Linked DNA regions of Daphnia pulex. The protein of the gene in region 1 purifies or fractionates together with the protein of each later gene. This does not show direct contact. Links are inferred from orthologs where the notes say so. Each region holds a gene or a part of one and is shown on either strand. Other genes may lie near its edges.

Region 1 (3,906 bases):
CTCTACATTTTTCTTCACAGCATGAGACAGGTTGACGCACAACCTATCAGAAGAGACATGTATAAGAACTGGGATGGACAACACTATTTTTAAATTAAAATGCACTTCAGAGAATGTAGGTAAGGATGAATTAAGTAATACATCATTCCACCTCAGATTGGGTAAGTTGTTTCATCACTCATTTATTTCTTTCCAGAATGAAAGTTAAGTTACCATGGCAAATCTCCAGAGCTTGTTTCATGAAGTTACATCTCCCACAACTGAATCATCTAAATAAAAATGCTTAGATTAGTTGGATGGGAAAAAAAAGATGGAAGTGAAGACAGTATTTAAAAAATCAGATGAGTTAAGTTTGGAATCAATAAAATGACCTTGTCAAATTCATACGAACGAGACTCGAGAGATCATCATCTAGCAGGATTGTAAAAACCCAGAAAATTACTTACCACGTTTAGGAAGCATGGCGGTGATATAATAGGAAACAATGTGAATCACGTAGAAATCAAGCATACTTAAATATGATAAATAAAACTTGCGCACCCTTCAATTAACTTAACGAAATTAACAGAATGTAACATTTAACAAGTCTCAAAAACAATTTTAACTTTAGATGCAGTAGACCTTGATTGTCTCATTGCCGATGTTCAAGTGATTTCAAACGTGGTTGTCACTTCATTCATTGAGTATGACGAATTCCCTCTACCGGTGAGTTTCCCATCCTTCGGAAAATTGAATGTGCCAGATTTATAATTTTCATATTGAAATAGACTAATATTTTTTATATACTGTATTTTGGGACTTTAACTTCAACACAATATTTTCAAAATTATAAAAAGACACTAGAATGAAATATGAATTCTAATTTATCATTATTTACATCTCAACTCGAGTGTGAATGAAAAATGGCAACGCGAACAACCGCGCGAGAAAAAGAAAAACATTTAAAAAAAAAATAAAGGTGAATTATATTTGCTTCCCATTGAATCTGGAAAGTAATCTTTCAAGTAATCTGGAAAACGCAAAAAGAAAAGGTAGCTTCAAAGTTGAGTAAAAAAGGCAATAACTCATGCAACTTTTTACAGGTGCAATACAGACACAAGTTTTGAAAAGTTAAACTGTTGTCTTAACTGACAAGCCTGCGACAACTTGAGCAGTACAAGAATAATAAACAACACCTAATGCCAGATAAGGAATACAGACTCAATATGTGACTTTTTACATTTATTACGACGGTGATAGTAAATCAATCGGAGACTTGATTTGTAGTTTTAGCATTCTTAAATCTTGTCTGTTACATTGTCGAGGTCATTTGAATTCATCATTTCCGCTGAACATAAGTCCCTATTTGTGTGTAATGTGTTATGTCAACTCGACGATCGACGTCTTTGGAGCGCTCTTTGTTATTATAACGAGCTTGTTGCCAACAAAAAAAGAATAGGAGATGAATTCGTTGTACTATTTCAATTACCATGACAAATAAATAAATAATCAGTCAAATATAATCGTCTCCACATTTAACCCGATCTAATTTACGGCATGCAATATTGGCTTTCTAGTTTATGAATAGCAGTAAATCAAGTAAAAATTCATAAGGTTTACTTTGTAGACCTCAAAACTTGTCGGACGACGACTCGAAAAGAAAAAGTCGTTACCGCGTTTTATAAAAAGAATCCGGCAACGCAGCGATCGTTCACTTTTCTTTGCAGACAAGAACTTCGTCCATTTTGCTCGACTAAAAATCTCTCGAAAACTTCGTGAGCTCGGCCTAAAAATGTTTAGTTTTGTTGCTCGTTCGGCAAATTTATCTTCCGTAACTGTTGCTGCCACACAATCGGTAGCAAATGGCTCGAAAGCTCTGTCTCCGGCCGTTACCATCAACATTGAACGAGTTCTAGTTCCACCACCAGCCCAAAAACTAACGACCAACTCTTTAACGGCTGGTTTGCCGATTAATCCGATAAGGGCATCAGTTTCAATTGGAGGTAATATTTTTTTCTTCTTGTATAAAACTGTTTCTAGATAATTTGGGCCAAGACAAAAAATTTTGTTTCATCAGAAAATGGTGGCCTTTAATTTCGATGTTGAATGTCGACACTCTTACATTTTCAAGCTACAATTGCATTTTTTTTTTTGTTTCTCCTTTTAGGTCCTAGCCAGGTGCGATTTGCTCACACTGATGTCTCAGTCCCAGATTTCTCTGCCTACAGACGCAGCAATCTTAAAGACAGCAGTGCTGATAACAAATCAAGCGCACCTAGCCGACAAGGATTCTCGTATCTGATTGTTGGCAGTGGAGCAGTTGGTGGTGCTTATGCTGCCAAGACTGTTGTTGGTGAATTTGTGGGCTCCATGAGTGCTTCAGCTGATGTTTTGGCTTTGGCTAAAATTGAAGTTAAACTGAACGACATCCCTGAGGGTAAGAACGTTACCTTCAAATGGCGTGGAAAGCCCCTTTTCATTAGGCATCGCACTGCGGTATGTATTGATTATGATTGTGACTCGTAAATAACTCTTGCTGATCGACAATTGTTCCCCCATTATTTTAGGAGGAAATCGACACGGAAAGCAAAGTTGATATGTCTACACTGCGTGATCCACAACTTGATTCCGACCGTGCCCAGCGTCCCGAATGGCTGGTTTTGCTCGGAGTGTGCACCCATCTGGGTTGTGTCCCAATCGCAAATTCGGGTACGTTTTCAATAATATTTCAACGTAAAAAAAAGCTTTTAACGAGTTCTCTTTTTGACAGGCGAATTTGGAGGTTATTATTGCCCATGCCACGGTTCTCACTACGATGCTTCTGGCCGAATCCGCAAAGGCCCAGCTCCTTTGAACTTGGAAATCCCAATTCACACTTTTGTGGATGAAAACACCCTAGTTGTTGGTTAATTTCGTTCAAAGACGGTCACTACTCGTGAACATCTTTCTAGGAAAATCAACCCAAAATTAGCGTCTATCCCCCTCTTGCTTTGTACAGATACAATAAATACACGATCCTGTAGCTGAGAGAGGGAAGGACTCAGTAAATGTACCATAACACTTTCTTTAATTATTATAGGCAAAGCGCTGATTCTTTGGCATGTTTTGCTTTTGATCCGGAATCTTTCAGTTTGTTACCAGAATGCTGCAAGTAAATTCATTTTAGATCCTACGGCCTCAGAGTAAAAGCAATTATCTAGTCAAATGAATGGCAATCACTAACGAAATCGGGAACGTGTATAGGGAGGTCTTAAGAAATGGCTTTTGGACTCACGAGGTAGCGTGCAAGTCGCTGGCTGGGATCATTGTGAACGCACATTCAAGTTGCCGAGACGGACGCACAAGAAAAGGGGCGGGGGGCGAAGGGAACTTATATCTCTGCGAACCATTCTCCTCGTTTCTATTCAAGTGACTCGATGGTAGTACTTATCGACCCGGAAATTTCAATCGAATCGTCGCCTGGGGAGTCCTAATCTATTGTGCGAAATCAAAAACGGAAGGCAAACGAGTGTACAGTCGTCCTTTTCTCAAGACGATTTCCAGTCACAGAAGTAGAAAGAGATGAAGGGGAGTAGACAAATTAAACTTTGAACGCATTCGTAAAGGTTGAGCAACATTTGAATCAGCATTTAACGTCAACTTACTCAGATCATTTGTACGAAGTTTCCCTTGGTTCGTTCATTGTTGGTGACGTACACGATAAATGAGGAGTTGAATAGTTATTTCTGGTTTGACATGTAAGAATGAAAATACACTTGTCTCATTTAAATACGAAATAAAGAAGTCGTCAAAAATGGTTTTGTTGGTTTGTTTGTTTGTTTTTGTCTCTTTTCTTAGTAGGTTGAACACAGCAGCGATACAGGTATTACACTCGAAAATGAGAGAAAGATCATTTGACTAGGTTAGACACTTTTTTTTTTTTTTTTT
Region 2 (3,527 bases), about 860 kb from region 1:
CGACAATAGGGTGGATGGATTTTACCCACGCAAAACAACGTGACCAAATTGGGCCAAGGTTTCTTTTTTATTCTACATTATAATTCCATTTTCTTTTTTCGGAAAAAGTGGGGGAAATCGATTCACGTCAGCCATGCAATGCGCCCCCCATGCTCCCACCGTGGACTATAATGGGAGAAATGCATTCTTGTGGACAACACGTCTTCAATGACGTCGTTCGGATGCAAGACAGGGAAATGGAAAGGGAAACTGCTGTTTTGTGATGGGTTGTAAAACGGCGAAATGCATGGCATACAATGCGTCTAACCTTTTAATTGGAATTCCTACAACGTCACCGTGAAAAGATAGCGTGTTATAAGAAGGAGATTGGAATGGATATAGGACCAAATAACTGCTGCTGCTGCTGCCATCCCAACCGGAATGAGAGCACACACACAAAGTCGTTGGGCCAATTCCGAATGTTGATGGACACTGGTGGTGTTCAACGTAACGTAAAACCGCCATCGACAATTTGGGGTACCTCGTCTCGTAACTCGGGAGGGGATTCGGTTCGTGGTATCATTCCACTCGACTGACACAAAACAAAACAACGCCAACAAGAGAAAGAAAAGCCAAAATTAGAGGGGTAACGTGTCTTTCTTTTTCCGGTTTTGTCTTTCCTGTCTCTTTCCGCTTTCAAGGGGGGAGGATTTTGTTTTTGTGCGATCACTACTTCTATTGAAATAAAAAGATACTAATAGCCGTCTGCTGCTACTGATGTGTGTGTGTGTGTACATACTAACAGTAGCATGGCTCGTCATCCGGTGTGGACTTTGAGTCACGGCCTCCACTCATCAGAATGGACGCCAGCATTGAAAGGAAGGCGAGTTAAAACTTGCACAACAATAATGTGGCCAACAGTCATTTCCTGTTTCCAGGTGGAGGCAATACACATCATCATCATCATCACGTCTAAGAGAGAGAGAGAAAAGGGTTACACATCAAAAGAAATCCGTCGTATCTTCCTAGAATCTAAAAGTATATGTGTGTGCGAGTATGAACGAGTCTACTTGTGAAAAATAACACTGACTGCAGTGTCACTACAACTTCTGGTTAGTTTCTTTTTTTTGGGAAATTTGCGTACAAGCCATGAACCGGTACGAGAGAGAGAGAACCGAGCCGTGATAAATGATAATAAACCGGGAAATGGTAGAGAGAGATACAGTCCGTTGAACTTGAAGCTGAAACACGCATTTATAATGACGTTGGAAAAAAGTCTACTCGAATGTATGAGGTAGTACTTAATGTTTCATGACTTTCCAAGAAAAAGGAACAAAGGGTCGTCCCCCTACCGTCAAACCACTTGCGCGACGATTGCTACACTTTTTCTAGCGACAAAGAAAACACCCCAAACGTCAAGAAATTCAGATTTATAAGTCACGGGAGGGAGGAATACTGGTTTTCTCAAACGGTTGCACATTTTCATGGCCTCTGGACGAGGTGAATAACATCAGAAGAAGAAGCCGATGATGGGGCAATCACAAAAAACAGATGACTCACCGGCCGAAGTGGCGAAATGTGTGGTGACCAGATGAATGCATACTAGTAACAGCAGAAAACGCATGATTATCTTCACTGGTCTGCTCAAACAATCCAAAACCAGCAGAAGATTAGAAACAACACTATAATATATTTATATTTTTTGAAAAAAAAAAAAAAAAAGATGAGTTGAGCTAGAGAAGCGAGTACAGCTGACTGGGTATCGAACCACAGTTAAACGGCACCACTTTCGGGAGAATCACTTGAGGTAAAGTCATAATTCACTTGTGTTATGTCTTTCGCAATCAAGGGACGCTTTAAATTCCACCACCAATAACACCACAAGTCCGAATACAACCCAACACTCCGTTCTAATCCTTCGTTACTCCATTACTAACTAAAACGCTTGTCTTTTGTTCGGCCCTATCCCTCTCTGTTCTCTCGTTGAAGGCTGGGCCAATACACCCAAAACGTTGCCAAATTCATCAAAACTTTAAAGGAGCTATTAAATTTATACTAAATTTAAAAAAATGTGGAATAAATTATTAAATAAACATTGAGGAATGTGAAAGACACCATTAAAAACACATTTAGATGTAATTCAAAAAATGTTGTGGTTCTGTTTTGATTCTACAACGCTGTTTGTCAAAACAGAAAATGGCCGCCCCCCTTAGAGCAGAGGTAAATAAAGAAACTTTCAGATGTTATTTTTGTCCTTGTATTTATTGATTTCCAACTTATTTATTGGTTTCCTTTATTTTGTGCCTCGTATAGGTTCTAAAATGTTTTCGGTGTCTACATCGAACTCGTACCAAAGTGTTTACCAATGATCAAGTCGCCATGGATGGTAGGAATTTCTTTCGAAATATGACAAATAATAAGAAATGTAGTCATATATCAGGTTAATTGATGAATTTTAATTATTTACATTATAGCCGCTCGCCTGAAAATCAATTCTGAATTCCGAAAATATCAGAGAATATCAAGTCAAGAAGCAATAGCAGAAGTAAGTTGATCATTCTCGTTTCGTGCCGACATTCCAAGTGATACCCTGTTATTTTTTTGGCAGTTAATCAAGCTTGGAAACCAAGCAGAGGAAATTCTACGGACAAGTGTTGTGCAGGTCACCCCCACCGAAGAAAACACTTTCAGTAATTTATACCTTGAGATTGTGATCTTCATTCTTTATCTAATTGCCTTTTATTATTCTTTATGTGTGGCAGGACTCCATATAACAAAGGACACCTTTATGCACAACAACACGCCATATAGGGGATGATTTAGAATGTATGTTAGTGTATATGATTGTGAAAAATAGAGAGACTGTAACATTTCAACAGACATACAGTTTATTTTATTGAACATGTAAGTACAGTTTTCAAGTACCACAAAGCACAATTCATAGGCTGCCATTTGGGCCAGTCCACATGCAAAAAATCTTGCTGTTCAAGAGAATATATATATATGATGATGTTCACATCATTATACAACTGTCATGGTACCAAGGCGCTCCGATATGGCACTGCAGCAAAATCATTAAGCTGTCAAGGCACCGGAGATATGATTGATGGAGCAAACAAACTAATTCGAAAAAGGCAGTATCACAACAAATATTATTCGAACAGGCACGAGAAACAAGGACACGCAAAGGCACACATATACACATCTCCCCTCCCACAAAAACACCTCCCAAACCCAAAAAAGGGGGAAGTAACAGCTGCAAAAGTAAGGCAGAGACACAAACCACACACACACACAGTATATACGAAATAACGGCCAAAATTGTTTTTTCTTCCCCTTTTGGCACTCGGCGCACGTCATTGAGTCTCCACGGAACACAATTTAATGTACAAGAATATTCAAATTATTATTAAGACACGTAGGCAGCACTGAACAAATAAGAAATAATAATTAAAAAAACAAAAACAAAGAGTAATTGAGGCGAGATCTTCACACGCAGTCTTGTTCCATCGGAGCCCAGCCAAAAGAGACGAATTTGTCGGCTCTGA

What was found.
Region 2: the proteins of cytochrome b-c1 complex subunit Rieske, mitochondrial-like (region 1) and complex III assembly factor LYRM7-like purify together in Homo sapiens (co-immunoprecipitation; 5 studies listed by BioGRID and IntAct, with this or other methods). This does not show direct contact. The link is inferred for Daphnia pulex from reciprocal best matches to the Homo sapiens genes UQCRFS1 and LYRM7.

What each region holds. Positions count from the first base shown.
Region 1 is NC_060017.1:6,019,807-6,023,712, reverse strand, and holds cytochrome b-c1 complex subunit Rieske, mitochondrial-like, read left to right. Parts: upstream 1-1,609; 5' UTR 1,610-1,771; coding exon 1,772-1,982; intron 1,983-2,146; coding exon 2,147-2,475; intron 2,476-2,546; coding exon 2,547-2,688; intron 2,689-2,749; coding exon 2,750-2,889; 3' UTR 2,890-3,031; downstream 3,032-3,906.
Region 2 is NC_060017.1:6,879,592-6,883,118, reverse strand, and holds complex III assembly factor LYRM7-like, read left to right. Parts: upstream 1-2,100; 5' UTR 2,101-2,175; coding exon 2,176-2,199; intron 2,200-2,292; coding exon 2,293-2,365; intron 2,366-2,453; coding exon 2,454-2,524; intron 2,525-2,587; coding exon 2,588-2,669; intron 2,670-2,741; coding exon 2,742-2,797; 3' UTR 2,798-2,855; downstream 2,856-3,527. Other genes in the region: disintegrin and metalloproteinase domain-containing protein 10-like, read right to left, coding at 1,540-1,603.